Linked DNA regions of Arabidopsis thaliana. The protein of the gene in region 1 interacts with the protein of each later gene in a pairwise test. Each region holds a gene or a part of one and is shown on either strand. Other genes may lie near its edges.

Region 1 (15,674 bases):
ATTTTGGCTCTCGCTATAAAAAAAAAATCGACAACAGTGCAGACACACGCCGATTTGCGAGATACACACAGTCTCACCTAAAAATCGCAAAAGAAGAAAAATTCGGATCAAAATTGTCTTCAAGCATCATGGATCCATACAGGGTACATCGATTGATTCTCTTTTTTTGTAATCTGTGATTTTACCTTACTTGATTTCGTATCGATTTGGTGTGATTTCGTGTTGAATCCAAAGTGTATGAATGATCTCTCTCTCTCGGTTAAAATGATGCAAAATTGGGGTGATTGTTCGACTTGTTGAGGTTTTTTTGTGTGAATCGATTTCTTTATTATATAGTGGAGATTGGGTTTCGATTTGCATGCGTTGAAGATTCCACTGGAAAATTCAACATGTTTTTCCGTCTATTGATTGTTTATTTGTCAACATGCTCATGCTCATGCTCATGTTCTAATACACAAGTCTTAAGGCTGACGTGATCTGTCAATATCGTTGTACATGTTTTAAGGTTTCTTTACGATTTTTTTAAAGTTATTTTAATCACTGTGTTCAATTGTGAATATCATTGTTGCTTGTATCGTATTTTTTTAATTGATCATATATACTTATGTGGAATTGTTATGTATCAAGTATCAATGTATCATTATTTGTCATAGACGTTTCTCCAATCTATGGAAATTTGGTTAATTTTTTTGTGATCCAGTTCTTCTGAATTTATTTGTTGGTGTGCAGGTTCGTCCTTCAAGCGCTCATGATTCCCCTTTCTTCACTACAAACTCGGGTGCTCCTGTCTGGAACAACAACTCTTCTTTGACTGTCGGAACTCGAGGTCCGTTTCTCTTTCTTATCTCTTGAATACAAATTATAACAAATATGTTGAACCAGTGGTTGTTAGAAATGCCCTTAAAGCTAGAGTAGTGGAAGCCAAATAATTTTATAAACGTTTGGATAATAATGTCATTAGTGTTTTTGTTGTGGACTTGCGTAAATCACATTTCTTCCTTCAGTTTTATGCCAAATCTGATATAATTCCTCAATGTTGATTCTGTCTCAGTTGCTTGGATTTTTAGATATGTTAAGCGATGGTTTTATATATTGTCAGGTCCAATCCTTCTGGAGGACTATCATCTGCTTGAGAAACTCGCTAACTTTGACAGGGAGCGGATTCCTGAGAGGGTTGTTCATGCCAGGGGAGCCAGTGCTAAGGGTTTCTTTGAAGTCACTCATGACATTACCCAACTTACTTCTGCTGATTTTCTTCGAGGACCTGGTGTTCAGACTCCTGTTATCGTTCGTTTCTCAACTGTCATCCATGAGCGTGGCAGTCCCGAGACTCTCAGAGATCCCCGTGGTTTTGCTGTTAAGTTTTACACCAGAGAGGTTAGCTTTTTGTCTTATCCTTCCATTGTCTCTCTATTTTCTATAACCGATATCGATGTGTTTGCTGATATTCAAACGTTTATTTGCTTATCTATTTCGTTTCACCACCTATATGATTACTTGCAAATCATATCATACTATACTGATGATTCCTCTTACCCTCTGTTTGCAAACTCAGGGGAACTTTGATCTTGTTGGGAACAACTTCCCTGTATTCTTCGTCCGTGATGGAATGAAATTCCCTGACATGGTCCATGCATTGAAACCGAATCCCAAGTCTCACATTCAGGAGAACTGGAGGATACTGGACTTCTTCTCCCACCACCCAGAGAGTTTGCACATGTTTTCATTTCTCTTTGATGATCTCGGTATCCCACAGGACTACAGGCACATGGAAGGCGCTGGGGTCAACACTTACATGCTAATCAACAAAGCTGGAAAAGCTCACTATGTGAAATTCCACTGGAAGCCGACTTGTGGGATCAAATGCCTGTCGGATGAGGAAGCTATCAGAGTTGGAGGAGCCAATCACAGCCATGCCACCAAAGATCTCTATGACTCGATCGCAGCCGGGAACTATCCGCAGTGGAATCTCTTCGTTCAGGTGATGGATCCTGCCCATGAAGACAAATTTGACTTCGATCCGCTTGATGTCACAAAGATCTGGCCTGAAGATATCTTGCCTTTACAACCTGTTGGTCGCTTGGTCTTGAACAAAAACATCGACAACTTCTTTAATGAGAACGAACAGATTGCATTCTGTCCTGCTCTTGTGGTTCCAGGCATCCACTATTCAGATGATAAGCTACTCCAGACCCGGATCTTCTCCTACGCTGATAGTCAGAGACACCGTCTTGGACCAAACTATCTGCAACTACCTGTTAATGCCCCTAAATGTGCTCACCACAACAATCACCATGATGGTTTTATGAACTTCATGCACAGGGATGAGGAGGTAATCTTATCTCTCGGCTCTAGAAACTCCCAGATACTTAAATTCGCAATCACATTTATATGAAGTGAATTTGTTGCTTTCCAATTCCAGGTCAATTACTTCCCTTCAAGGTTGGATCCAGTTCGCCATGCCGAAAAATACCCTACAACTCCTATTGTCTGCTCTGGAAATCGTGAGAAGGTCAGAGTCCTCTACATACATTAATTTTTGATCACAAGTTTTATCCTCATAAGTCATAGTTAAAACTCAAATGTCATCTTTATATCACAGTGCTTCATCGGGAAGGAGAACAACTTCAAGCAACCAGGGGAGAGATACCGGTCCTGGGATTCAGACAGGTAAACACTAAAAACTCAAAAACCACATTGCAAAATCAACAATTACACATGAACCACAAATGTCATAATTCATTCTAATGGTCTTTTGTTTTGTACCAATAGGCAAGAACGATTCGTGAAGCGTTTTGTTGAAGCGCTTTCGGAGCCTCGTGTCACGCACGAAATCCGCAGCATTTGGATCTCTTACTGGTCTCAGGCAGACAAATCTCTGGGACAGAAACTAGCAACTCGTCTTAACGTGAGGCCAAACTTCTGAATGATATCATCTCTAAAGACTAAGTGAAATCCTATAAACTCAATATGCTCCTCTTACGGTTTGGTTTCTAAGTAATCTCGTTTATTGACAATGAAACGCTTAAAGAAGGGTACTAGTTCCTGTTTGTAATCTTCTTTTCAAAATATTAACGATTATTTTCTAAGGCAAATAAATAAAAAGCTATGACTAATATAGCTTAGTAAACAAGTATCACTATCATCCATTTGGTTCTACTTTAAAAATGGATTTTTATTTGTATTTTAATCTTCTGCATCTATGACGTGAGCTTATAGTTGGAATTTTATTGGGGTCTAATGTCAGACGCACGATCTTGATAAAAAAGTTTTATGTCTGTCCATATTTTGATAAATTGGCATAGTCATCACTCATCACGTCAGACCTTTTAATTGGTCAATCGTTATGATGCTACATCGCATTCATAATTTATAATTTACATGTAAGTGGGGGTGGAGTATTTGATTATTCCGCTGCTAGTGGAAATGCAAAAAGAATAATGAGAGCAGACCAATTTTAATTATGCTTATACTTTGTTGCGCTTAACTTTTAATCAGCTAATACAGTCTGATTAATCTGATGTCTCTCAGCCAGTAGTTTCTTTTCTTAAAGAGAACCTCAGCGCAAATCAGAAATTAGACACATGGAGCCACATCAAACTTAATCACCAATAATATCCTTTTCTCATGTATTTTTCAGTCTCATATTTTTTTTTACAACTTGTTAAGTGGTAGTGTGCGAAGATTTTAGATCGAAGTTACGCATCTTAAGAGATTATTTATCCAATGAAATGGTATAGTGAACTGTGTTTGCTAATGGTCCAGGATTTTATACATTTAAAATTCATAACTTTGCAGTTTAACGAAAAACAATAACAAATTTAACGTGTTTTGGTTGTCGTTAACAAGATCTCGGATCCATTTAGGAAAAGTCAATATCTTGATGACGAAATCAAGAAGACTTTACTTTGATTGCATGTGACGGAACTTAAGCACTATACTAAACGATAAAATGTAATTATGTAAATATCTAAGTTTTGAGGTGTATAATGCAAGAGTATAATTTCGTGGACCTACGTCTAGGTCTACCAACAAATGTACTCAACATAAATAATATCGTCTCCGTACCCCAAAAATAAGGTATATAGGTTTTATACCTAACCAAGACGTGCAAAAATTATCACAATTATTTGACGTGGAAGTTAATGATTCGGCCAACCTTATACTAATTTTGTTTTGCAATTAAGGACTCATTTTTTGTGTATTATATTAAGGGATCTCTATTATCAATGTCCAACTATTAATCATTTTTTATACGTTTCAAAGCCCTATGAAAAGAGATTCTATTTGCCCGGATCATAATTTAAAATTGTGTAATCAGAATCTTCTTTTGTATTTGCAAAGTTTAAAAATTCATTGGTTACTCAAAAAAGTTTGTTTTCCTTGCAGTTCTATTGGTTTCTTTCTGATTATTGGAGTGTTTTTAGTTATATTTTATTTGTTTGTGAAACTGATTATTGGCTGTTTAGGCAATAAACTATATACAATTAAAGTAGTGCAAGATTCCAATTTACCCGTTGGGACTTAAATCTCAAACAAAAGTAATGAAAGAATTCATGTGGATGTGACCATGATTTGTGTTCGGCGGATGTGATCAATTATTTAAGCTCAAGTATCATGGTATCTAGTTTATATAAGTGGATAAGATATATGAACACAATTATTTGTAATCCACAGTTAATTTTGTATATATTGTTTGTTTTTCTATTATCCTATGAAGTTCAACAAACAAATCACACTCCACTATACATGACGGGATCAGTAATTAGTTCAACGCCTTTATACCATATGTTAAATATTGATGTGATTTATACACATTTCAACATGGGGTTGCTAAACTTGAACATAAGATCTTATGTTTTAAATTTCAGATGTCTAAGCGTTTATCTAAGCCATCCAAAATCACCCTAACTTCGATTTTATTCAAATAAGCCACTAAATTTAGTTAGAGTCAAAAATCTAAAATCTAAATTCTAACCGGACACTTCGTACATACAAACCTGATCGAAGATTAGAAGTTATATAAAGAGGTCTCTTCCACAGAGAAACAAAAAAAACGAAAGATAGTTAATTTTGTGATCGTCTTTTTGTCCAGAGTTCTTCACAATGAAGGAAAATATTACGTATGGGAGGAGTGTTGCATTTTGTTTCATCAAAATATATAAAACTCCCAACAGCCCATATGAGTGACCTAACGAAAACTTTTTAATGCTGACTAATATATATCATCATCTTCAATTCATTCTCAAATAAATATCTTTTTATTTTATTTAGAAAGCACTATATAATTCAGTCAATTAGAGAACCAAGTTGACCATATTTAAAACTAAAAGATGATATTTAGATCTTAACTACGTGTCATATATGATGAATTCTGAATATTTTTCTAATTTGAATATTAGACGAAAAAGTTGGTCATTAGCTTTATCCTTGGTAAAATGTTAAATTTTGTTAAGTAATTTTTCACTGATTAAATAAATATTTCAAATAAAATAAATAACTCTTTACAAAAAAAACTCTAGCATTTCGGTAGTCCACTAATTATACAATTATATAAAAATCCATGTTTAAGTTTTGACCTATATAAAAATAAAAATAAAAATCCATGTTTAAGTTTGGACCTATATAAATAAAAAGTAAAAATCCATTTTGAAGATCAAAATCCAACTTCTTTTATAGTAGGACCGGAATAAAACAATGTACAGTGTGACACACTTACTACTGGCAAAAAAAAGGGATAAATGAATGTGATTGAAAATGTGAAGTCATGAGTAAATATTATGTGGAGTGTACCTAATTAGAGAATACGTTAGACAAAACCTAAGTGGAGGAAACGCAGTCATGCACCACTTGTTTCGTCTTTTTAGCTTTGCGCTTCCTGTGAACGTAGATTGAAACACTTGCGAGTATAAACATATTCCTTGTTACGTATAATTAAATTTGTATGAATAAACTTAATTTACGTTCTGTTCTCTGTTATGTTACGTTTCGTTTCGTTTCCGTTACGTACAAAAAAAAATATTTTCATATGAGATACTAGACTAGAACACTAGAGTACTTATTCATGTTATATATATCCCATCCGCCAAAAGCTATTTTGTCCTACAACTAACGTGATCCAAACTAATAATCATGAAACCCTACCGAATACGAATTATGTAAATTTTTATAAAATCATCCTCTCACTCACTCGTAAATGTGGATTTCACATTTGTTCGTCCAATCTAACTCCCCTCCTGAAAACTATCATACCCCTTTTTTAAAGCATCATTCAGTTTGTCTTTTCTCCCTTCTCAGTTTGTTGTACCATATTATAACCAGACCATGAATAATCTCTTATATAACTTGACTTGATCACAACCAAATCTTTTCTTAAATTTGATTTTTTTTTACAAGTCCTTTTCTCTTTTTTTGAGCATTTGAATGTTTTTGGAATGACTCCAATAATTAAACCGCTTCTTTTTTTTTTGTTAAAAATGTAAATATTTTATAAAATAAAATAAAAACAGATTAGATTTACAGTCAAAAGTTATTGACCTATACAAATGATTATAGCAAAAAAAAACATGGAAACATAATAAAGCATAATTGAACCGCTTTCCACAACCTTTCTTAGAAAAACATTTTCCACATCGATTAAACCGTTCCACAAATCCACAAAATTCATTCATTTCTTACTATGTGGTTACTAATTAGAAACGTATATGTTGATTGTTGAAAACATATTTTGATGAATTGTTCTAGCTCAAACAATGAAAACATCCTTCATTTTTGTGAGAACTCGGTTCGAACTATCATAAAACTTTTAAAACGAAAGTATATTAATAATCAATGGTTTTGCCTAACCAAATAAATATTTCTTTTATTCGTTAGCGGTGGAATCTATTCACGAGCAGAAGATGGTATTGGTTACACAATACCCTCCACTAAATAGAAACTTTTGTTTCACTGAACTACTTTATATTGTCAATTTGAGTAGATTAATATATTTTTTCTGATCAAATTGAGGGAAGAACCTACTCCCCCACTCGTTTATTTTTATTTACTCTATAACTTCTCCAAATAAGCCTATAGGCTATAAAGAGTATAATAGTGGCCTTTAAAGATTCTTTAATTTTTCATAATTATAAAAAGATTATAACAACATGTAACAAAATTGACAATTGTAGGACATGAATAATTATTAACTTATCCTCAAACAGCAACAAAGCGTCTAAAAATCGAAAACGATTCGCTTTGGTCATCACCAGCATAATAAAATGTTGAAGAATCAGTCTCCAAATTCAATAAGCTTTTGAACAAATTGGCGAAATCAGATATTTGGTATATTTTAAAGATACGTACAGCCATTATATTTGATTTTTTCAAAAACTAAATTAGGATCTTATTCTACCACTGATTGTATTAAACAACAAAGTATTTAATCTTTAGTCAGCTTAGAAAAAAATCTTAATATTAAAGAAAAAAAATGCTTTTACTATTTCTTTTTTTATCTTAATATTTCAGTCATATAGTTTAAAATTCTGGTTAACAATTGTCAAATGAGATATTCCAAATTCTTTTTATTTACATATAGTTTAAAATTCTTGTGAATTTTCTATTTATGTAAAAAAGTCAAAATGTGATTATTGGTGAAATTCTATTTGCTATAACAAAACAAAAAAAAAAAGGTTTTGACTTTTTTACATAAATAGAAATTCACTGCAGGGAGACATGTTGTTGGTCATTTGTTTATTCCCTCTGTGTCTGTATTCTCTCTCTCTGGAAAGTGGAGGAATCTTCTATCTCTCCTCCAGTCAAAAAAACCCAAGCAGCCTGGAAGAGAGAGAGAGAGTAATGTGATACTATATGAAAACAAAATTCATAGTAAGGTCTCGCCATGTCCCGATGCATAAATGAGATAACGATCCACAAAATTTTCATTTTAAAAATTTCATCTTTTTTTGTTTTCATCTTCCGTGAAGAAGTAGTACCACATAACCCCCATCAGACATCTTTAAAGCTTTCTTCTTTTCCTTGTTTCTTTTGGTTTTGAGATTTGGGTTTCTTTTCATATCTGTTCCTTCTATCTCAGACAACAAATTGCAACAGAGGAAATTTAAAAACCCACTTGAGGAAGGAATCTTTGAGAATCTCTCTCTGACTTGTGAGTTTTTCCATCTAGTTTCTCTTTTAAGGGTTTGATTTTTCATTGTAAACGAAGCTGATTAGTTCAAAGTTCGTTTTTTTTTGTGTTTCATTGAGCCATATTGTTTGACCAGCTTGAAGGATTCAAACAAAAAGTTTTTGTTTTTGTGTGTCTACTTTGGATTGTTTCATTTTGTCTTCATGAATTAGATTTAGACAAGATTTGTGCTTGATTCGTGTTAAGTTTTGATTTGGGCCCTTCAATTTCCTACTTTATCGGTTGGTGAATTCTATACACATTAGTCCTATCACGACCTTCTGTTTGTTTGTTTTTGAAAATGGGTGCTTCGCATTTGCAGATGTTGCTTCATTGATTTTGGAGATATATCCATGGAAGATAGTTTCCTTCAATCTGAGAACGTGGTTATGGACGCTGACTTCATGGATGGATTGTTACTAGATGGTTGTTGGTTAGAGACTACAGATGGATCTGAGTTTCTTAACATAGCTCCTTCAACTTCTTCTGTTAGCCCTTTTGATCCAACTTCCTTCATGTGGTCTCCAACTCAAGATACATCAGCTCTTTGCACATCAGGAGTTGTATCTCAGATGTATGGTCAGGATTGTGTAGAAAGATCTAGTCTTGATGAGTTTCAATGGAACAAACGATGGTGGATTGGACCAGGAGGTGGTGGTTCTTCGGTTACTGAGAGGTTGGTTCAAGCAGTTGAACACATTAAAGATTACACAACAGCGAGAGGCTCACTTATTCAGTTATGGGTTCCGGTTAATAGAGGCGGTAAGCGAGTTTTGACCACAAAGGAACAACCTTTTAGCCATGATCCGTTGTGTCAAAGACTTGCAAACTATAGAGAGATCTCTGTGAATTATCACTTCTCTGCTGAGCAAGATGATTCCAAGGCTTTAGCTGGTTTGCCTGGGAGGGTTTTCTTGGGGAAGCTTCCTGAATGGACTCCTGATGTTAGGTTTTTCAAGAGCGAGGAGTATCCGAGAGTACACCATGCTCAGGACTGCGATGTCCGTGGAACGCTGGCGATTCCGGTGTTTGAACAAGGTAGTAAGATTTGCTTGGGTGTTATTGAGGTTGTAATGACCACTGAGATGGTTAAACTAAGACCTGAGCTTGAAAGCATTTGCAGAGCACTTCAGGTTTGTGTTCTTCTCTAAAGCTTTCAGCTTTTGCTATAGAAATGGTTTTCTGAGAGTGATGAATGTGTTTCCTTTTTGCAGGCAGTTGATCTTAGGAGCACCGAGCTTCCGATTCCACCTTCTCTAAAGGTAATCAAAGAAACTACATGAGTTCCTTATGTTCAGCTTTTGGGTATAAACAAGATTGTTTCTTCTTTATTCAGGGATGTGACTTATCCTACAAAGCTGCCTTACCTGAAATCCGAAACCTCTTGAGATGTGCTTGTGAGACTCATAAACTACCTTTAGCTCAGACATGGGTTTCTTGTCAACAGCAAAACAAAAGCGGGTGCCGTCACAACGATGAGAACTACATCCATTGCGTATCAACCATTGATGATGCTTGCTACGTTGGTGATCCAACAGTTCGTGAGTTCCATGAAGCTTGCTCTGAGCATCACCTCTTGAAAGGCCAAGGAGTTGCAGGTCAAGCCTTCTTGACCAATGGACCTTGCTTTTCATCTGATGTATCTAACTACAAGAAATCAGAGTACCCTCTCTCTCACCATGCTAATATGTACGGTTTACATGGCGCGGTTGCAATTCGCCTGCGGTGCATCCACACGGGCTCTGCTGATTTCGTCTTAGAGTTCTTTTTGCCTAAAGACTGCGATGATCTGGAGGAACAGAGGAAAATGTTGAATGCTCTTTCAACTATTATGGCTCATGTGCCTAGAAGCTTAAGGACTGTTACAGACAAAGAACTAGAAGAAGAGAGTGAAGTGATAGAGAGGGAAGAGATAGTAACGCCAAAGATAGAAAACGCATCTGAACTCCACGGAAATTCCCCATGGAATGCCTCTCTTGAAGAAATCCAGCGGAGTAATAATACTAGTAATCCTCAGAATCTTGGACTGGTATTTGATGGAGGAGACAAACCAAATGATGGTTTTGGCTTAAAAAGAGGTTTTGACTACACCATGGATTCTAATGTCAATGAGAGCAGCACTTTCTCTAGTGGTGGTTTCAGTATGATGGCCGAGAAAAAGCGTACAAAAGCAGATAAAACCATCACTTTGGATGTTCTTCGACAGTATTTCGCTGGGAGCTTGAAAGATGCAGCCAAGAATATCGGTGGTAAGCAGCATTTTTTTATCTTCTCGATTCAATTTATCGGAAAGTCCTGAGACTGATCTCTTCTTTTTGCCCTTTTCTTGTCTTGGAAATTTTCAGTTTGTCCAACGACCTTGAAGAGAATATGCAGACAGCATGGTATACAAAGATGGCCTTCAAGAAAGATAAAAAAAGTGGGACATTCTCTGCAGAAGATCCAACGAGTGATTGATTCGGTTCAAGGTGTTTCTGGTCCTCTTCCCATAGGCTCATTCTATGCAAATTTCCCCAATTTAGTCTCACAGTCACAAGAACCATCACAACAAGCCAAGACCACGCCTCCTCCTCCGCCGCCAGTGCAGCTTGCAAAGTCCCCTGTATCCTCGTATAGTCACAGTTCAAACTCTAGCCAATGTTGCTCCAGTGAAACCCAACTAAACAGCGGTGCAACAACCGATCCTCCTTCAACTGATGTAGGAGGTGCATTGAAGAAGACGAGCAGCGAAATCGAGCTTCAAAGCTCGAGTCTTGACGAGACAATTTTGACTCTCTCCAGTTTAGAAAACATCCCTCAAGGCACCAACTTGTTATCATCTCAAGATGATGACTTTCTGAGGATTAAAGTTAGCTACGGAGAAGAGAAGATCAGATTACGGATGCGGAATTCGCGCAGGTTAAGAGATCTATTGTGGGAGATTGGGAAGCGGTTTAGCATAGAGGATATGAGCAGGTATGATCTAAAGTACTTAGACGAAGACAATGAATGGGTTTTGTTGACTTGCGACGAAGATGTAGAAGAGTGTGTAGATGTCTGCAGAACTACACCGAGTCATACCATTAAGCTTTTGCTTCAGGCTTCTTCTCATCATTTCCCTGAACGTTCTTCAGCTACTGAATACAGTTTATGGCACTGACCTTAAATCAGAGAAAGAAGAAAGAAAAAGAAGCGTTTTAGGACATGACACAAAAGATAGTAATACCTTTGTGTTCTGTTATAATTGTTCATAATTTTATCTTTGGTTTTTTTGAAAGATTACTAGGAGAGGTGCTTTGGGTTTTGTTTTTAAAAACGCACCAGAGACAAGAAGAGAAGAACATGTAAAGATCCTATCTTCCTGAGAAATTGAAGTTGTTGTTTTTTTCTTCTGAAATTCCTTTCGAATGTGGTTTTCAAATGTAGATACACATATAAAAGAACTTTAATTGTTTCCATAATTGCCATATACATCAAGTAAAAGAGACTAATAACGAAACATTTACCAAACATATATTGTTTTCTGAGAAAGAAACAAAAAAAACCATTTTTACACAACACCAAACTGAAATTCTTAAAAGCTGTTTTTGAGTTTTTACAAGTCTCGTCGCGGCGTTCTTGAAATCTCTGGTGACGGTGATGAGACGTTTCGAGCTTCATGAGATCTGCTCTGTGCGGCTAAGTACTCTAGTGCCACAACTATGTCACCTATGAACGGTCGATAATGAGCTTCTTCATTAAGACACATTGCAATAATCGCAATCGCATAGTTTAAACACCGTCTTGGGTATTTTCCTCGTAGAGACGGATCCACTAAATGTCCAAACTTCTTCTGATCCTTGAGGTATGGACGTGACTGCAAAGATAAGAAAAGTTTTGGTTATAACTGGAGTAGGATTTTAGGTATTACGCTGTAATCGATTTAGTAAGTTTCTTACCCAAGTAACAAGATTCTGCTCGCCTTGCTTTTGACCTAAATCAATAGCTTTTCTCCCAGTAATCAGCTCAAGCAACACTACACCGAAGCAGTAGATATCCGATTTAACAGTTAATTTCCCGCTCATTGCGTATTCAGGAGCACAGTAACCGTAAGTTCCCATGACACGAGTCGATACATGAGTTCGATCACCAACTGGACCGAGTTTCGCCAATCCGAAATCCGAGAGTTTTGGACTGAACTCTTTATCTAACAATATGTTTGCGGATTTCAAATCACGGTAAATCACTGGCGGGTTAGCTGTGCAGTGAAGATACTCTATTCCTCGAGCTGCACCAACCGCGATTTTCATTCGAGTATTCCAGCTTAATGGTTCTTGATTAGACTCAAGATCTGAAAAATCATACAAAAGAGTACAACATTTGAAACTGAACATTCTTAAGATAGTTACAACAAAACACTTGAAAGAACAATGGAGTAAAAGTAAACTAACCAAAAAGGTGATCTTCTAAGCTTCCCATTGGCATGTATTCATAGACAAGAAGTCTTTGATCACCAGAAGTACAGTAACCGATCAATGTAACGAGATTGGGATGATGCAATAAGCTAAGCATAAGAACTTCTACTATAAACTCTCGGTTCCCTTGAAGCCCATCTGGATTCAATTGCTTAATAGCCACTACCTGTTTTCATCAAATCATATCAAATTACATCAAAAGCTCATTAAAAACAGAGTTTCTCTTTAAAAGGGCTTGAGGAAGAGAGAGAGATCTGACTTGTCCTGAATCTAAACGTCCCTTATAAACTCTGCCAAAACCTCCTTCTCCGAGCAAATTAACTTCCCGGAAGTTTCTTGTAGCTGCAGCTAACTCCTTGAACGTGAAGCTCCGAGCTCCACCACCAGGTATCGGACTATTCACTTTACCATTTACTGTTCCAAATTCCGACAGAAATTATTCTCAAAAAATGTGTTAAAAAGACACCATAAAAGGGACATAATCAAGAAACACTCACGACTCACCTAAGATACCCGAAATCGACTCTGTTCCTGTTGTATCACTTCCATGAACTGAAACCACAAAGAAAAATACTATAAACAAAAACGAAAACTTTTGAGGTAAAAACAATGAAAGTTATTGAATTGTGGACATGAAAGTACCTGATGAATCGGTTTGGTAACGAGAGTTGCATCGAGCGTTATCAATGTCGACTCTTATGTCCTTGGTTCGAGGATTCAAACAAGAGAAACAACAAGTCATCTTCTTTTTTCTTTAAGACTTACAACAATGGGGATTTAAAGAAGGAATTTTTAGAAAATGGAGCTGGTTCAAGAAACCAAGCTCCGAAAAATCCCAACACCAGACACAAAACCTGACAAAATTACTAAAGAAACAAAACTTCAAAACCTAGGATTTAGGGTCTGAAACTAAAAAAGAGATTGATTTCCTCTGTTTCTTCTCTTTGGATAATCCCAGAAAACAAAAGAACAAACTTTTTTGGCAGAGTAAAGCGAAATTATTGAATCGGCCGGCGATAGATTGCAGGAAGACAGAGAGAGAGAAAATATATTTTTAAAACAAAAAAAAACTGAAGAGTTACTAAAATTATACAAATTACATCTAATCACGACAAAAAATGACAAGGATCTTATAACAACAACAAAAAAACTGAGGTTTAAACAGTATATAGAAAAAAATAAAAATCACGGTAGAGACACTACTTTGATTTTAACAACTGAATTTTTGTTCTTCTCATTTATTTTATTTTAGTTGGAGCTACTGAAAAATATTTAAGTGGTAGAAGACGACGAGTTTCGTTTTGTTCTTTTCCAACTCGGTCCCATTTTTTTCAATAAAGAAAATTAAATTCTTACTCATTCTCTATCTTCTATTCAAAAATCGATATTTAAAAAAATTTCCCACAAAATTAAACTCTTCTTCTTCTTCTCTGGCATTTAAACCGGTTTGGTCCCCTTCTCTTCTCTGATAACCACGCTTGGTTTAAATTACTATAGTACCCTCTAACAGTACAGTGTTTGTAAGAGAACACCCATGAGGCCGACAGTGGATTTTGAAGTCGAGATTTTGACAAATGGACGGTCCAGATTAGATTATCTTGACCTTACGTATTACAGTGGGTCACACATACTGTCCTCTGCCTTCCCCGCATTTGACTTTATTTACCGTTTTAGTAAATTCTGTATCTATCATCATAAGAATAATAATGGCTACTTTATAAATCAATCAATTATTAGCTGATATGTTTGGAATTTTTCACCTATCTTTTTCTATCATATCTTTGCTTCTTTTCCTTCTTTTTATCATCGAGCTGTTTTTTTTTTGGTTTTTTTTCTCGTATTTATGACATTATTGTTGATCTTGTTACCATTCACACATCTACAATTTAAAGCATGTTGATGGAATTAAAATTTTGAACCAAAAGAGAGAATTATTATGAGCGCCCTTTTACTTTTGAAACTCTTTTTTTTATGTGTCCTCCATATTTTTGCATTGTGTTAATAACATTATTGTGAATTTACTGCTACTAATGGCATATGTGTTTCCATTAAATCTTCCTTTTAGTTTCCATAGCTATTTATTAAAAAAAATATATATATATATATATATAACACAACTACTATTTTAATTTTAACATGCAACCATGCATTCAAAACTGTTATTATTTTTTTTAGTTTTTGTTTGAAAAAAATATCGTTTTATATGTCCACTTTTTTAAAAAAACGATATGATGCATTTTGTCTTTCTTGTGGGATTAGAAATATATGTGATGGTTTCGTTTGGAATCTAGAGTCTACCTTTACATTTTCGCATGATTTTAATCCATCTACAATCTCGCTCTTAAACTAACTTTCTTAGCTCTATTGTAGTTTTTTTTTTTACATACGGATGATGACTAACATAGAACTCATCAAAGCCTAAATTCTCAAAGTTTGCTCATGGAAATAAAAATAAAAAATTTAAGCTTAAAACAACCATGGCTGACAAGTGTATGAACCATGCTAAGAGAAGAGAGATACTATCAGTAAAAAACAAAAGGCAACAGCAATCCAATAAGATACATGGACTAGGTACGTTACAACTTACGAGTTGGCTTAGGCTTAACAATGTTTTCTGCATAGTCTAGAAAGGCGTAAGATTTATGAGACTTGAAGGCTTCCACTCCTTGGATTTCAACTCTCGTGATAGCGTTCCTCTCGGGGTTGTAGTAGAGAAGGTAGAAAGAGTTGGAGATATTGCATGGCGACAACACAATATCCCCCGTGTCACTCGTTCCAACAAATCGTAACTTGGTCTCCTCAATTATATTCTTCCAAGGAGGAGGCAAAACGTAGATATAACTCGACCATTGATGTTTCTCGGCATCTTCTAAAACCCATAGTTGAATTCCTGTATATCGTATTGAGCCAGGACCAATATTTGCCTGGAGTTTAGCTATTTTACCCTTGTGGTTTACAAGAGTTGGTTGAAGATTAACTCCTGAGTTACGTTTCATGCCATTAGCTTTCTTTATATAACTAAACTTCTCAAATTTAATGTCAAAGCAAACTATATCAGGAAACCCGTCTAAGTCATC
Region 2 (16,855 bases), on another chromosome or scaffold:
TAACTAGCAATAAATCCCATTTTATTTTTGGATCTCTTGTCTTAGCCTTAACTTACATAATCAAGATATATGTAAATTATTAGGTCCCTCTCAAATCGTTACCATCTGCATTTTAAGTTTTTTGACAGTAAGTGTAACATGAATATATATATGCATAAGATCGATCTCAGGCTGAGGAAAGAAGCTTATGTTAGACTGAATCAAACAAGTTGCAGAGGTGGTTGGTCTTGGTTGGAGGAATTCTGATTCGGTTCAAGAAGGTTAACCGCAATATAATTCCGGTTATACTGCCCCGACTGGTGAGAAGAAGTAACACCCGACTCGTAAACTGTCCCTTGATGTATCACACTCGATTCTTGTTGCTGTAGACCTGTTCTTTCAGTAATCTGCAGAGATATTTAGAATTTGCACATCAAGAGATTGTCTACCGGAAAAAAATGATGATCAAAAATGCCAAAAAGAGTTATGTATAAAACCTTGGAGCGGAGATACATGTTATCGTTTTGCAGCTCGATTTCCTACAATGCAAGCGACAACAGAAAATAAAAAAAGATGATCATCAGAAAGAGAAGTTGCTAATAAAGTAGGGGGTAAGTTACTTGTGAAGGAAGATAGGTTTTACTTTTACCCTTTTTTGCATGTATTCAATCTCTGCAACTAACATCTCGTGCTGGAGAGAAAAACCAAATATAACGGGCAAGAATCAGATGGATATATATTCAATGATAAGGAGATTGATGGAGAGTTAGTGATTGTACCTTCTTGGATCGGACACGACTGATTCCTTTCTCAAGCCTACTTTCAAGGTTCTTGAGTTCCTTAAAGTTCAAGGAACCAAGAGATTCACCAAGAATGTGTCTGTTCAAATTCTGAATGTCCCGAATCTGTCTCCGGAGTTTAGACGCCTCTTGCTGATAGTACTTCATCAATTTCGATCCCATCATTGTTACAAGAGGTGAAAAAAAGGTCAGATAACTAAAAGAAGAAGAAATTAAGTAATTAACGAACTAGCTAGCTAGGTGTATTAATTAAAAGCTAACCTGAGTATTAGCTTCGGTGATGGTCGGAGGGTTAACGGCGTCGGAGCAAGCTTTCTTGTACCTTTCTATTGTTCCTCTCACACTTCATCAACATTCACACAAAGGAAAAGATTTTAAAATGCAATCTTTTTTGTGGTAGCTATATATGTAAATAGATGCAATCGGTGAAAATCTCAAACTTAAACCACCACAAGTAAAACAAAGACACACGAAACTATAACTGTTGGATTCAAACACTAAAACCAGAAGAGAAAAAAATATATATATATGAAGTCGTTAAAGAAATTGATATTTTTATCTTCTGGATATACAAAACACACAGAAAGACGGATATTAAGGTTTTGAAAATAAAGTTTTGTCCGCCCAAAACCTTAAATTCAACCGACAAAATAGTGAATGGACCAGTACCATATAGTATATGATTTGTTTGCCCTTCTTTTTTTGGGATATTATTGTTATTGCCTATTATCTATTAACAGTGACATCTCACAAAGTTATATATATATATATATATGTATAATCAAAGTTCGAGAAGACCCTAATGTGTACTTCCCCAAAAAAGTGTAATCCTAATTTGAAAACATACAAAAGAAAGAAGTAGCAAATCGGAGAAGAAAATAAAAAGAATTTGAATTGCATATGCTCTTAGTTAATTGGAATTGGTCCCAATTTATGTACGACACAAAATCCAAATTATATTTTAGGCTAGTATATATTTTGGCCTAATTAGATTAAAAAATTCACTACTAGGCTTTAAGAAAAAGAAGTGATTTTCAGGTCAAGTCAATAGATTCCCTACTCTAGAAGCTAATTTTGCTTCTTCATTTGTTTTTCCTGAATTAATATTTGAACATTACATTTACATGCATATGTGGCTGAGGCAAGTATGTTTTTACCAAGAACATGATATTTGTAAATCTTTTGCAAAACAGAAAAAGAAAAGCTAGAAATCTTTGCATAACGTTATGCTTTCATATTCATATACAAGTAATTTACATTGTGCTGTTGTATAATGGAAAGCTGAAGTTGAGAAATGTCAAAAGTAAGATACTACTAAAGCATGAGGGTGTTTGAAATAAGAAAGTTAACTACACTTTTGATAATAGAAACATATATATATCACATGTTTCTACATACATAATGCATTCCTCTTTTGTTAATCAAATTAGTCATGTCCATTATAAACTTCAGATCAGTTCTTTAGTCGTTGTGAAAGTTCACATTGAAACTACAAATTTACTAGTTTTAACTTAGATCCATGATATGAGACTTGACTTATAGATTATAGTCATACATCAACCTCAATTATAGTATTAACTAGCCAAGCAAATAAAAACAATATTTTTGAAAACATTTATCTTTAAAAAGCAGACAAATAATCAAAATGGTGAAATGAACATGAGCTGTTAATAGCTGGAAACGTATAGAAAAACGGAAATGACAAGTCCCCAACTTGAAGTGGAGAAAATAACAATCAAAAATCAAAATTTTCTGTTTCGTTATTTTTCTTGATTGATGGATCGGATGATTAATTAAGTGACTCAACAATAAGCTTTGTCCCTGATTCATTTTCTTGATTTAACAAAAGGATTCACCAAAAGATTAGAGAAGTGTCAGAAGACAAACACCTACTAGTCTCTCCCTAGTGAATCAATTTTGAAGGAATCTACATAGCTTTTTTATATAGCCAAATAATATATATTATTATAATTTTATCAAGAACCCTACTTTTTCATTACTATGATGGAAACCTAATGATCAATCTGCAGAAATAAAACTTGATGGGTCATCAAATTGATCGAAGTGTCTTGTACAAACTGACATAAATAGATACATATATAGATACTGTTATAAGGATTTGTGGAGAAAAAGTGACTGGAACAAGGTATGGGGGATGCTAATTAATGATCAGAGAAGACCCTCACTGCTTTTTTACTAAGAGAAAGAAGTTAAAGTAGGGTTCCCTAGTTTTAAACAAACCCTAATTTTGGGGATTTTTAAAGAGATTTGAGCTTCAGAGAAACTAAGGAAAAAAACTATAAAGAGACCATAAAGATTGAAAAACCCACCAGAAGAGTCGAAACTTTATTCTAGAAAAAAAATTCAAGAAAATCAAGATCTAGCTAAAAGATGTGTACCTGTTGTTGGCGTACTCGTAGAGACGGCCTCGAGTGGAGAAGATGACAAGAGCAACCTCAGCGTCACACAAGACAGAGAGCTCATAAGCTTTCTTGAGTAAACCATTGCGTCGTTTGCAGAAAGTGACTTGACGATTCGTAGTGTTCTCTATCCTCTTTATCTCTATCTTCCCTCTCCCTATCTTCTTGCTGCTCTCTGCTACTTCATTACTCGCACCACCCTCCATTTCTATAAGCCCTAGCTGAAGTATAAACACAAGAGAAATAGATCAAATCCTTTTGCACTCAAACACCTTGGATTAAAAGAAATGGTTTATAAGGATTAACTGAAGAACCCTAATAATTTGATTGGAGAAAAGGAAGAAACTTTTAAAAAAAAGTGTAAATCATCAATAACCATACCTGGCTTAGCAAGATTAATTATGATCAGAAAGAAAGAGAAGTGAGGATGGGAAGATGAATTATGAGAGAGTTAATTTGTTCATTGGCCTAAAGATACTATTCTTATTATCTCAGTACCACTTAACTGCTGCTTCAACTTTATTTTTTGTTTTTGGTTTCTGTTTTGGTTTATAATTTCTTTTAGAGGAATATTTCTTTGGAAGTATTTAAAAACCCATTTGCAGAAAACAGAAGGTTTGGTAGTTTTTTTTCAAACTGAAGTGTTATAGAAGGAAAAAGAAAGAAAGAACATGGACCATTACTTCTAACATTTTCTCAAATATCACACACCTAATTCTTTTAATTAAATTCTATATGCATACATTTAGATTGAAATTTGAAATTGATTGGAATTAAGTGGTAGAAAATATCAAATTAGAAAGAAGAAAAAAGAAAGAAAGAAGACAGTTGGGTTTGGATTGGGTGGGGAGAGAGCATTGAAGGAGGACCATCCAATTTTTCTTTCATGTTTAGAGGAAAAAAGAGAGGTATGGGCTCTGTTTCTCATCAGAATCACCTTTTGGAAACTTTCCTTTTTTGGTAATCCCTTTTTATTCTCCTTTTCTTTTTATTGCCCTACTCCTATATACATTGCATGTCGTTAATATTTACCTGGCATTTTATATATAAAAAAAATATTTCCAATTAAACCAATATTTAGCTAATATGCTAAGAATTTGGGTGGTTTATATGAGTGTTCGTCGTCAACGTTAGAATGGGGTTATATGAATATGAGTGTTATAACTTGTCAACTACCAAGCGAGACAATGAATAAGATTTCAGTGTTCTTGCCAATTAAAAAAAACTGTAAATAGTATATATTATTATTTGGTTGTGTTCAGAAATGGCAATTTAAGAGTATATATTATAACTGGTTTAGTTTTTCCAAAATTCTTATGTTCAAGTCTTAATCTTGGACATTAGGTTAGTCCAACGGCAATTTGAATATTTATTTTGATAATTAATTACATCATATTACGTAATTTAGACAAAAGAACTACATCATATATGCGACAATATAATTAGAGAAGATGAAACTAATAAAGTAAATGAAAGCAGAGAGCCCACGGGGAATGACTAATCATGTGTGTAGTCATTATCCATGAACCCTTTCTCAGATTTGCATTAATTAATTGTAGTTACGAAAGGAAACTCTTTTGTGTTTTGCCCATTCCTCATCATTTTCATTGTACTTCTATTCAATTTTCTTAACGAGCAACACACATTTTCACATTCATGTCGAATTAATTAAGTTGGAAATTCTGCAAAATCATTTCAAGAAAGAACTTGATGAGAGCTGGTAGGTCTTTTGATTGACTTTCGTGGTCTATATTCTCAATATATAGTATATGCTTTGAAAGTTGAATATGCACTAGTTCTTGTTGTGTTAAGAGTTAATTAGCGTGAAGTAATATAATTCTCATATCGAGTGTTTAATTTACTAGCTTTATGACAAAATAATCATAATCAAATAGAATACTAATGAAGAAAAAGGTAATATATATATGTAAGAAAGATGAATTATGTAAAGATTGCTTTTACTAGCCCTGTGACAAAAAATGTTAAATCTTTATCAAATTGAACGATGATTGATAATTGAAATTTAATTTTAATGAAAAGAAGTAGTATATAAATGGGTAAGAAAGAGAGATTTCCAAATTAAAGGACAGGTGATTTTTACTCAAGTATCATAATCAAATTGTGTATACGTCCAATCTCATTAATTAGTGCATAAGTTATTGATCACTAACTCTTGTGAAAAAGAAAAGAATCTTTTGTTTTGACGAAAACATATTCCAAATACCATTCATAGGGATACTAAACCCAAGACTTTGGATTTCCCTTCATCAGAAATTTTCCAACGTTTACTTTGAGATATTTTTTTTCTTCTTAGAACATATAATAAATAGGTTCATGAAAACGTAACAATGCGTTGGAGATTCTTTACCTGGCTTGTTGCCTTAACTCCCACAAAGATTCTTTTGCTTGAAGAAATTTCAAGCTTTTGTGTATATATCCAACGTCACAGTGCTAAAGACGTTTGAGAAAGTTTCTGTTGAAAGAAGAGTAAAAACTCAAAAAGAAAATGGGTTTCATTATTGCGATTGCAAAACGTTTTGATGCTCTAGTTGGGTAGGATTTTATTCAAATTCTGTCTCATATAATAAAAATAAACACTATATTTGTCAAATTTTTAACATTATTTTCTTCCTTTTTCTTGTTGCATGCAGGCCTGGAGTCATGCTTCTCTATCCTCTGTAAGTGATATCAAATCTGAATTTAAATGTTTGGTTTTTACAAATGCAACTTGATAGTTAACTGAATAAATGATTAGGTATGCATCATTTCGAGCAATAGAGAGTCCAACAATGTTAGATGATCAACAATGGCTTACATATTGGATCATTTACTCTTTAATAACGATATTCGAGCTATCCGTTTGGAGAGTCCTTGCCTGGTAATTACAATATTATTCACTAAATTCTGTTACGAATTCAAAAATTTATGCCTATAAAGACAAAAAAATGGTGTTCTTTTGCATATTGTAGGCTACCATTTTGGCCATACTTGAAGCTTTTGTTCTGTATGTGGTTGGTGCTACCAATGTTCAGTGGTGCAGCTTACATTTACTCCAATTTTGTTAGACAATACGTCAAAATTGGGATGAATGTTGGAGGAGGAACGAATTATACAGACGAACAAAGAAGAGTTTTACAGATGATGAGTCTTGATGCTAGAAAATCGGTTCAAGACTACGTTGACCGGTTTGGATGGGATTCTGTTGAGAAAGCAATCAAAGCGGTATATGATTTCTCTTGTTGATCTTTAATATAGTTATGTATATATAATCCAATACATATATTCTGGGAGTTTAACTTCATTATTTGTGTTCAAATGTAGGCTGAAAAAGAAACTAGAAAGCATTGAGATGGAAGATCAAGAGTCAAGAAAAACATTACTCTTTGGTTTGTACATGTATGTACATAGATTGTATAGAGCAATACTATAATGAAAAAGATATATATGTTTGAAAGATTTATGGTGACAAATTTGTGTTCTAGTACTCTATGACCAAAGATACTATTAGAGAAGCCAGTCCAACTCTTTTTGACAACATACATTTGGATGGGTCTCAATTTGATTAAACAAAACATCAGGACACGATTCGAATTAAAATGAGAATACAACACTCTTTTTGACATAAAAATAAAAATAAAATTCAAGCTCGCGCTATATCACAATTGGTGTTTTGCTAATTTCCTAAATCTAATTTTATTCTAATTTAATTATGTAAAATAATAAAATCACATCTTTGGAAGTTTTTAAATGTAATTCATATAACGACAAAAAAAATGTAATTCATATGACGTAAAAAAAATGTGATTAATTTTGTTAGGGTCATTAATCTATATTCTATACTTTAATACTCTGAGATCCGTGATTATTATTATTTGTCCATCTCTATCCACAAACCATACATAAAAAATTGATATATGACGTCAGAAAAAGATAATACAAGTCTACATATCTCTTCGTCCATTTATTTAATTTAATTGGTAAAGAATTGAGTGCGCAAAATTAATAATTTCCAATTTATCAAAAAAAAACACATTAATAATTTTATTTTTTATTTTGTTCAACTTAAAAAAAGAAAAGAACACACATTAATAATTTCCAAAAACCCCTCTTTTCTCATAGATTGAAGCGTATACTCTAATTTGACCAATCTAATCTAGGGTTTCTAGTCACTTGAAGCTTCTCTTAAAAAACCTGTCTCACTCCTCGTCAACCTCTTCCTCTCCCGCTGTCGCCAAGATTGAATCTTTTTTCAGGTTTGAATCTATCTTTAGAGTAATGAGTTTCTCTGATTTCCCGACAAAACATGTCTTAAACGCTGGCTTCCTTCTGTTGTTGTCCAGTTCTGCTTTCCTCTTATCTGGGTTTTAATAGATCCTTTCACAGAATTTGTTTGTAAGTGATATATTTTTTCCACTTGTCACGGCCACGATTCTGATTATTCTTCTAATTCGTTGTTGAGCTGTTATGAAAACGATGCAGAATTTGAAAGTTCACAACTTTTTGCTTCTTATCTATTCGCTTAATGCTTTTTTATCTGTTATGTTTCGTGTTCTTAGCTGGATTTAGTTATGTGCGTTTTTCAAGTTCATTAATGTGTAGGAATGTTTTTCTGTGTGAATGACTTCTCTTCCTCCTATGTATCTCGTTGCATGACTAAAGTCAGTGGCTGTATTACGAAAAATCTATACTTTATTTAGGTTGAGTATAATTTCAATGTCTAAAGCTCTTAAACTAGCTCCCTGTTAAGTAGAAAACTTATTGATGAGGAATTGGCCAAGTGATTATGATTATTGCTATCGTGCATTTGGGCATGACTGAGATAAAACCTTAACTTTACATATTTTCTGTCAATCAGTTGTGGCTTCACCGGATAATAAGGAATTCAGTAAGAGATAAGTTCATCCTGACAACATGGAGACCAAGAATGAGAATTCTGATGTTTCACGGGCAGAGGAGTTTAAAAGTCAGGCCAACGAAGCTTTTAAAGGTGTGTAATTTATCATAAACCTTTACATAATCTTGTGGCATCAGTTTATTTCAACTCTTTTAGTGAGGTACTCCTATCTTTTTGCTTAATGTTGTTTGTTGCTTACAGGTCACAAATACTCCAGTGCTATTGATCTATATACAAAAGCTATTGAACTCAACAGCAACAACGCTGTGTATTGGGCAAATCGTGCATTTGCTCACACAAAACTGGAGGAATATGGCAGTGCAATACAGGATGCATCGAAGGCCATTGAAGTTGATTCAAGATACTCTAAGGTATCATCCTGTGACAAGATGTTCCTGTTTCTTCGTGTATTCAGCCATATTCACTGATTATCTACTGAATCACAGGGCTATTACAGGCGTGGTGCTGCGTATCTTGCCATGGGAAAATTTAAGGATGCCTTGAAGGACTTCCAACAGGTTAGTGTTTCTTGCACGAGCATTGTGCCATTTAAGTTGTTGTCTCTTTCGTTTATATTTGTTAGCTGCTGATCTGATAGTCCTCTTTCTAGTTTACTCTAAACTTTTTGAGTGAGGATCAGCTCAGTTGAGAAATGTCAAAATACTATAGATGAAATGTTGTAGGCTTGTATAGCTTGAACCCACCCAAATGGTCATAACTTGATTGTTTTGGTCTGATCAAGTGATTAGATCCTGGAAACTTGATAGAGTGATAGTTATCTGTCAAAATCTGGTTTGGTGGTCGACTGTCTTGATCTTTTAAGCAAGACTAGCGTGTATGGTATTGTTGACTTGGTCTGCTATATATATTTTAGGTAAAAAGGCTTTCTCCTAATGACCCTGATGCCACAAGAAAGCTAAAGGAATGTGAGAAAGCAGTGATGAAACTCAAATTTGAAGAAGCAATCTCTGTGCCAGTATCTGAAAGGCGTTCAGTAGCTGAGTCCATTGACTTCCATACAATAGGTATCCTTCATCTGTTTGCTTATTTTTTGGTTGTCTTATAGCTTGCAGTTTGTTGTGTCACCTGGTTCTTTCGTCTCTTGTTATGCCATGCCTTTGATTCAGTAGTTGAAAAATGGTTGAATGTAGCTTTAGACTAGTAATCATTCTTCTACCTATTGTCACATAATAGGGAACAAACCCAGATCATCATCCATGCCCACCAAAACGGCTTTAGCAGCAGTTGTTGCAGCAGTAATGGTGGTGGCGGTCCGGGGATTTGCCACAACTGAGATACTCATGGTGTTGGTTTCGGTGGTATTAGGGACATTTTGGTGGGGTAGCTTCAGTGGTAGTAGTGTCTTTTCTCTGGTTAAACCCTCATCCTAGGATCAATGTGGATTGTTTTCATGCATATCAAAACCTGGATAGTTTCCTTTCTTGGAGTCTCAGTTGAGAATTGACAAAGCTCAATGATATTGATGTCAAAAACATCTCAACAGGAGTGGAACATTTCATAGATTTACTAATATCTCTATTTTTGTTTTGTTATGATAGCATACCTCTTTTACTACATTGTAAAAAATGTGTATCCATGACTTGTAGCTTTTAATATTCATTGATAAATGGTGTTCACTGTTACAGAGTTCTTAACCTTTTGTCAATTTACTTATTCTTTTCAATTTTATTGTAGAGGTTGAGCCACAATATTCTGGTGCTAGAATTGAGGGAGAGGAAGTTACCTTAGATTTTGTGAAAACGATGATGGAGGATTTTAAGAACCAAAAAACATTGCATAAACGGTATGTATTGTTTTGGGGGTACTCAACTTAATTTACACAGTTACCATATGTTCATGCTTTGCGGGCACTTTATATGTAGGTATGCCTATCAAATCGTCTTACAGACTAGGCAAATCTTGCTAGCACTGCCTTCTCTTGTTGATATAAGTGTTCCACATGGCAAACATATCACTGTTTGCGGTGACGTTCATGGTCAGGTATGCTTTGGTTTCACCTACTCTCCGAACATAATATTTTAATGTCTCAAATGAATCTGCGAGGATCCACCATCTCCTGTTCTCTTGTTTATATATGTAGAAGTTTTCAATAAACCGGTTCCCATACTATATTTCTGGAATTGGATTTTATTATGAATCATTCTACTTTTCATATCTTGAATTTATTGGCTAACCTTCTACTCCCTCTTGCACTATTAAGGGCTGTATTGTGTTGTATTGGGTGTATGTTTGACACATTGTTTGCTTTTGCAGTTCTACGATCTTCTCAATATCTTTGAGCTTAATGGCCTCCCTTCGGAGGAGAACCCATACCTATTTAATGGCGACTTTGTGGACAGAGGCTCATTCTCCGTTGAGATCATCCTCACTTTGTTTGCTTTCAAGTGCATGTGCCCATCATGTAAGTTCTCTAAAACTTTGTTGTAATAATTCTTTGATGTTCATGTTTTAATTGCTTTTGCTATCACTGGCAAGGATTAAATTATTTACTATTGTCTGATGGGGTTAAAAGTTTCCATTTTAATTGTAAATCGCCATTTACACACCTTTGTACTGCAGCCATATATCTAGCCAGAGGAAACCATGAAAGCAAGAGCATGAACAAAATTTATGGTTTTGAGGGTGAGGTTCGGTCCAAGTTGAGTGAAAAATTCGTGGATCTCTTTGCTGAAGTTTTCTGTTACCTCCCGTTGGCTCATGTTATAAATGGGAAGGTCTTCGTGGTACATGGAGGTCTTTTCAGTGTTGACGGCGTGAAACTCTCAGACATCAGAGCCATTGACAGATTCTGTGAGCCACCAGAGGAAGGTATGTTTCATCATATACATCTTCTGTAAGATTACTTCTCATGTAATTGTGTTCTGTTTAATCATCTTATCTTGCTAATGGTTTATGCAGGACTAATGTGTGAACTATTGTGGAGTGATCCTCAACCTCTCCCTGGAAGAGGCCCAAGCAAGCGAGGAGTTGGTCTATCATTTGGTGGAGATGTGACAAAGAGGTTTTTGCAAGATAACAATTTAGGTTAGTTCACTGTCTTGTTATTATCGGGGTTTGGTTTCGCAAACTAATATTTACTTGAGATAGCTATTAACTTGCATTTTCATGATTGTGGCAGATTTGTTGGTCCGGTCACATGAAGTAAAAGATGAAGGTTATGAGGTTGAACATGACGGTAAACTCATAACTGTCTTCTCTGCGCCAAATTACTGTGATCAGGTAACTCAGACACTCCTGTCTTCTTATTTCAAAACAGCACCCAGTTACTTGATTCTTTACTTAACATGGACTGGTATTGTTGTAGATGGGTAATAAGGGAGCCTTCATTCGTTTTGAAGCTCCTGATATGAAGCCAAACATTGTTACATTCTCAGCAGTGGTGAGTGTAGTCCTCTTACATAGCATTGTTCTTATGAATGTTTCACAGAAGATAGTTCACGGTTTGATTTAGACTCATTCAAACACTCTTCTAATTTTCTGATATTGTTATTTCCCAGCCTCATCCGGATGTGAAGCCTATGGCATATGCAAACAACTTTCTCAGGATGTTCAACTAACCAGCAAAAAGCTTCTTCTACTCAAAATGCTATTCTAAAGACTCAAGACCAGAAGTGGTTCAGAAACATAATGATATAAGTTTTTTTTTCCCTTTATCTTCTGCAGTTTTTTCATGTTGTTCCAGAAAAGGGAGGCCATGATAATTAAAGGTACAGTATCCGGATTTGATCGTTTTTTTTCTTCTTCCTTCTTTTCTGATAAAGATTTTCACTCTTCCTTTAAGCTTATCCAGCAACTTTTGTCCCTTTTGTCTTATGTTGTAAGAGGGGGTAATGTATCATTCTTATTTTAGATGAAAATCTTGTGATTACTCAACAAAAGAGTGACCAAATGACCCCCCAAAACTTTGTACTTAAAATGGTTTCTTGAATCAAAAATCAAAAGGTGTTTCTTTAAAGCTTCTTGTCTGCTTCTTAGAGTCTTTTTGAATGGAGTTTAATTCAAATATTCAAGCAAAGACAGCAAACAAAAACAGAGAGGTCAATAGTGTTGAGTTCTTGCAACAGTTACTCTCGTGTAGATTCAGTTTTTCCCTTATTTGAGTTTGTACAAATGGTGTGACCTGTTTAAATACAACAGTCTAAAGAAAGTTAATAACACTATTGTTTTCCCCACTCTCTTACATGAGCTGTTTCAGATCAAAATACCTGCAGATTCTCCCATGAATTTTGCAGAGAATTTTGACAAAGTATGTGCTTTTGTTTAGCGATGACAAACCACTACTGAATCACAGAATCATAAACCTTGTTTTAGTCCATGCATGGATAGATAGATAGATACATGTACTAAAATGTGGAGAAAGCAAAAGTAGATGGAGTGGTGTCAAATCGTAAAGCACTGATGAAAGGCCTGAGAGATCGAGAAAGCATTACGTGGATTACATAAAAACAATTTACAAAAATTGTCAGATGTTTAAGGGAAGTAGCTAGAAATTTGGATTATGGTGTTGACCGGTTTTAAAGTCTTGTAACCAATCAAGTGAGTTTTATGGCCGTTGGATTTTTAATTTTGGTGTAGGGCATGCTTGAGCTAGATCCGTACGGTAAATAGTAGGTTCTGAATTTACCTCTTCAGACTCACAGTCCAGGCTTAAGATTAGATCCTTGACTACATATAATACACACCAGACCATATACATCACAATACATTGTACATTGTCTTACAAAACATCTGCTGCATATTGCCAAGTGTAGTACAATTTCTTAACGTTCAAATTTTAACCTCTTTTTTTACTTCTTACAAAATGATGTTTTCTCTGTTTTAAATAACCGTTATGTCGTAAGATATTCATAACATTCTAAGGTACAACAACAAAAATAATCCTAGGACAGAAACAAGTTTCTTTGAGTTTTTTTTGTTTGCAAAAGTCTTGATGGGGTTGTCAAATGTATTTCAATTCTTCTGTATTTAAGTTACAAATAACTATGATTTTGTCTGGATCAATTCAAACTATGAATAGTAAAACTTCAGAGAAATTTTGAAAAAAAGACATGAATAATTGAAGACAGTAAATAGAGAGACATACTATGCCCACCACTTTTCAAGAGTTTTTCCTTATTAGTAGTTTTTATTGATAACAAATATCTATAGAGAAAAGATGATTTGAAATAATAGAAAAAGAATGAAACTATTTTGTCAACAGTGAAGAAACTATTTTGGGTGATTTTTGAAACAGTTTGTACCAACTATACATTTTGATTGTCATGTGGTGTGTTCTCTTTTGAACCAACAACCAGATGGTCATCTTACATCAAATCTTGATTACGAATTGGTTTTCTTAAACTAGTTTTCTTCAAAGTTAATGTATAAGTTCTAACATGTCACATTGAGATGATGACTAATTATTCATCCAGAAAGAATCTCATTCTAGGATCAATATCGGATTGGATCAATCATAACAATTTCATATCGGTTTGAAGTAGTGTGTATTCAGATTCCAAAATTTAACACCAATTAATAAATAGATCCATGCGTTTACTATTTAAGATCGTTAGTCTCATCTTATTTCATACATGTGTGAGGACTATCTTCCTTTGCAATAGACTTGGATCATACAAAATCACATTCTTTATTGTACATTTTAATATAGAGTATGCAAAAATAGTACATGGTTAGAAACTAATACATATATATATATAGAGAGAGAGAGACATAAAACAGGAAAGCCGCTCCACAGAACCTGAGAGATTCGAGGAGCTAACGTATTCACGAGACTACCTCCCAACAAAGACAAGTCCTTCAAAATTTGGTTCGAAGAAAAGTGTTTTGAATAAAGAAGAAACATGTGTGTATGGCCTTACAAAACCCATCAAGTACTCTTTTTAATTTTGTGTCTTCTCTTTCTCTTCCCAATCTCATGACTTGAGTCCCTACCTCTTTGTCTCTCACTACCCCACACGTGTCACTTTCAGTCACTTCCATTTATAATTGCATCTCACACACTCAAAACCTATTCGTATTCTTTACTAGCTTTCTTCTAAGTCTTCACTCTTTTATCATACCTTGTTTAGATTCTGATTGTTCACGTGTCTCTGTCTTGTCTTGTCCCTAATCCTTAAACATTTCACTTAAACTCTTTTAACCTTTTCCTAAGTTTCTCTTTTGGGTTTTTGCTCCTCGATGATGATATAATCTCACTTTTTATACTTTTCCTCCTCAAAGATTCTAATTAACGTCACATCTCTCCATTTTCTTTTGCATTGGAGAATGAAGAACTTTTATGAATTCTCAGTATAATATCACCAAGAAACACACACACTCTCTCTTTCCTCTCTCTTACACCAAAACCTATGACGATGAAGAGAGCTTTACCATCTCCTTCCTCACTGCTCTTCTTCTTTCTCCTGATAACACCACTCTTCCTCTGCCAAGAAAACAGAGTCTCTGCCTCAATGCCTCCATCTGAGTCAGAAACTCTCTTCAAGATCATGGAATCAATGTCTTCTGATCAACAATGGCGTCAATCCCACCCAAACCCTTGTGCACCTGGCTCATCTTGGCCAGGCATTGAGTGCAAAACCGGTCCAGACCACTTATCACACGTCTCTCGACTCGATTTCGGCTCTGCTCCAAACCCCTCTTGTAAATCCTCTGCTTCTTTCCCTTCTTCAATCTTCACTCTCCCTTTTCTCCAATCAGTCTTCTTCTTCAACTGCTTCACTCACTTCCCAACCACAATCATGTTCCCTATAAAACTCATCCCTAACTCTTCTCTTCAACAACTTAGCCTCAGATCAAACCCTTCTCTCTCAGGTCAAATCCCTCCTCGCATTTCTTCTCTCAAATCTTTACAAATCCTCACTCTCTCACAAAACCGATTAACCGGAGATATCCCTCCGGCGATTTTCTCATTGAAAAGCCTCGTACACCTCGATCTCAGCTACAACAAGCTCACAGGTAAAATCCCTCTGCAATTAGGGAATCTAAATAACCTCGTTGGCTTAGATTTAAGCTACAATTCTTTAACCGGTACAATCCCTCCAACGATCTCTCAACTGGGTATGCTTCAGAAACTCGACTTGAGCTCAAATTCTCTCTTCGGAAGAATCCCGGAAGGTGTAGAAAAGCTTCGTTCGTTGTCTTTCATGGCGTTGAGCAACAACAAACTAAAGGGAGCTTTTCCAAAAGGAATCTCGAACCTTCAGAGTTTGCAGTACTTCATAATGGATAATAACCCAATGTTCGTTGCTCTCCCCGTTGAATTAGGGTTTCTTCCTAAACTTCAAGAGCTCCAGCTCGAGAATTCTGGATATTCCGGCGTAATCCCGGAGAGTTACACCAAATTGACGAACCTTAGCTCGTTGTCTCTTGCTAACAACAGATTAACCGGCGAAATCCCATCAGGGTTTGAGTCTCTGCCACACGTTTTCCATCTGAATCTCAGCAGGAACTTACTGATCGGCGTTGTTCCGTTTGATTCAAGTTTCTTAAGACGGTTGGGTAAGAACTTGGATTTGAGCGGGAACAGAGGATTGTGTCTGAATCCGGAGGATGAGTTTAGTGTTGTCAAGACCGGGGTTGATGTATGCGGGAAGAACGTTAGTAGTGGTGGAGGTTTATCGGTGCATTCATCGAAGAAGAAATCTCAAGCTTCTCGGTATTACAGATCTTGCTTCTTCGCCAATGCTCTGTTTCCGTTTGCTCTGTTTCTAGGTTTACATCAACGATGGGTTCTCTAAGAGTGAGATAAAGACAAAACAGACAGAGAATTAAATATTTATCAAATCCCTAAAAAAGAGAGAAGAATTGTGTTTGTTCCCAAAGTAGACCGATGATTTCTAGGGAAATAAATTAATAGAGTCGATTTTGATGTGTATTAGTTTCCTATTAAAGCAATGTACGTTAATGTTGTGTTTTTTTTTTAGTTTAATAATAATACTAGTATTTTCAGATTTTTATATGATTGTTAATAAAATTATTTCGAGTCATCCATAATGGTCCTGAACAACTTCATAGCCGTGTGTATAAATATGTGTTTGTATACAAAAGAGAAAATAACAAATGAAATGAAACGACGTTTTTGTTTTCTATTGGGTAAGAATTAAATTTCTAGTAAATCTGTTATAAAATTTACATACATAGAGTGTAATAAACAAAAATAAGGGAGCAGTTTGGACAAAGAGTTTGCAGTGAGTCTGATAAAACGACACAACCTGATTCAAGTCTAACCATGCAACTAAATTGAAGACCTAGAAAAATTAATGTTAATTGAGTTTCAACTAACCATTTCAAATTTGTGTTAAGCTAATTTATTTATCTTAATCAACTAACGTAATTTGTTTTTAAACTGCTATTTGCTAAATTCATTATGTAGGAGTAGCCGAGTAGGACCCTGAATGGTACGCTCAAAAGAGGTAGCAGCGTCATCGAACTTAACGTTAGGACACCCTATGATTGATCGTATCAAATGACCAAAATTAAAAAGATGATTGAGTAAACCAATTAATTTTGGTATATAAACAATCTTTTTATTATCGTACACATTTTTGGGATGTGATGTGACTAATGAAAGGTTTAAATATATTTAAACATGATAAACGCAGAAACCACCATATAGAGGAGAAACTAGAAAAATATAATTTGTCAGTCATGTGTCTAAATCCACACCTACTTTTTTCTCATGCTTTTTTTCTTCCTGCAAATATTGCATTTCCTTTGCCTCTCTCACACATTTCCTCTGTCAC

The links.
Region 2: the proteins of AT1G20640 (region 1) and PP5.2 interact in a two-hybrid assay, tested with the Arabidopsis thaliana proteins (one large-scale study listed by BioGRID).

The regions. Positions count from the first base shown.
Region 1 is NC_003070.9:7,146,684-7,162,357, forward strand, and holds AT1G20640 (Plant regulator RWP-RK family protein), read left to right. Parts: upstream 1-7,726; 5' UTR 7,727-7,866; exon of another isoform or gene 7,867-8,074; 5' UTR 8,075-8,406; intron 8,407-8,486; 5' UTR 8,487-8,517; coding exon 8,518-9,297; intron 9,298-9,378; coding exon 9,379-9,426; intron 9,427-9,500; coding exon 9,501-10,413; intron 10,414-10,509; coding exon 10,510-11,303; 3' UTR 11,304-11,604; downstream 11,605-15,674. Other genes in the region: CAT1 (catalase 1), read left to right, coding at 129-143, 730-826, 1,100-1,377, 1,556-2,332, 2,423-2,512, 2,603-2,670, 2,773-2,926; ASG5 (Protein kinase superfamily protein), read right to left, coding at 11,739-11,999, 12,082-12,473, 12,574-12,763, 12,857-13,011, 13,102-13,149, 13,240-13,339.
Region 2 is NC_003071.7:17,807,152-17,824,006, reverse strand, and holds PP5.2 (protein phosphatase 5.2), read left to right. Parts: upstream 1-7,234; 5' UTR 7,235-7,452; exon of another isoform or gene 7,453-7,857; intron 7,858-8,054; 5' UTR 8,055-8,110; coding exon 8,111-8,186; intron 8,187-8,294; coding exon 8,295-8,464; intron 8,465-8,539; coding exon 8,540-8,611; intron 8,612-8,967; coding exon 8,968-9,118; intron 9,119-9,287; coding exon 9,288-9,449; intron 9,450-9,788; coding exon 9,789-9,897; intron 9,898-9,976; coding exon 9,977-10,094; intron 10,095-10,367; coding exon 10,368-10,515; intron 10,516-10,673; coding exon 10,674-10,922; intron 10,923-11,012; coding exon 11,013-11,138; intron 11,139-11,232; coding exon 11,233-11,333; intron 11,334-11,418; coding exon 11,419-11,493; intron 11,494-11,611; coding exon 11,612-11,671; 3' UTR 11,672-12,072; downstream 12,073-16,855. Other genes in the region: SHP2 (K-box region and MADS-box transcription factor family protein), read right to left, coding at 201-386, 477-518, 623-670, 759-920, 1,041-1,122, 3,179-3,405; HVA22F (HVA22-like protein F), read left to right, coding at 5,706-5,752, 5,851-5,877, 5,955-6,077, 6,169-6,421, 6,521-6,547; RLP29 (receptor like protein 29), read left to right, coding at 14,462-15,850. UniProt on the Arabidopsis thaliana protein: Isoform 2 dephosphorylates phosphorylated phytochromes, with a preference toward Pfr forms, and enhances phytochrome-mediated photoresponses, probably by enhancing their stability and their binding affinity for light signal transducers such as NDPK2.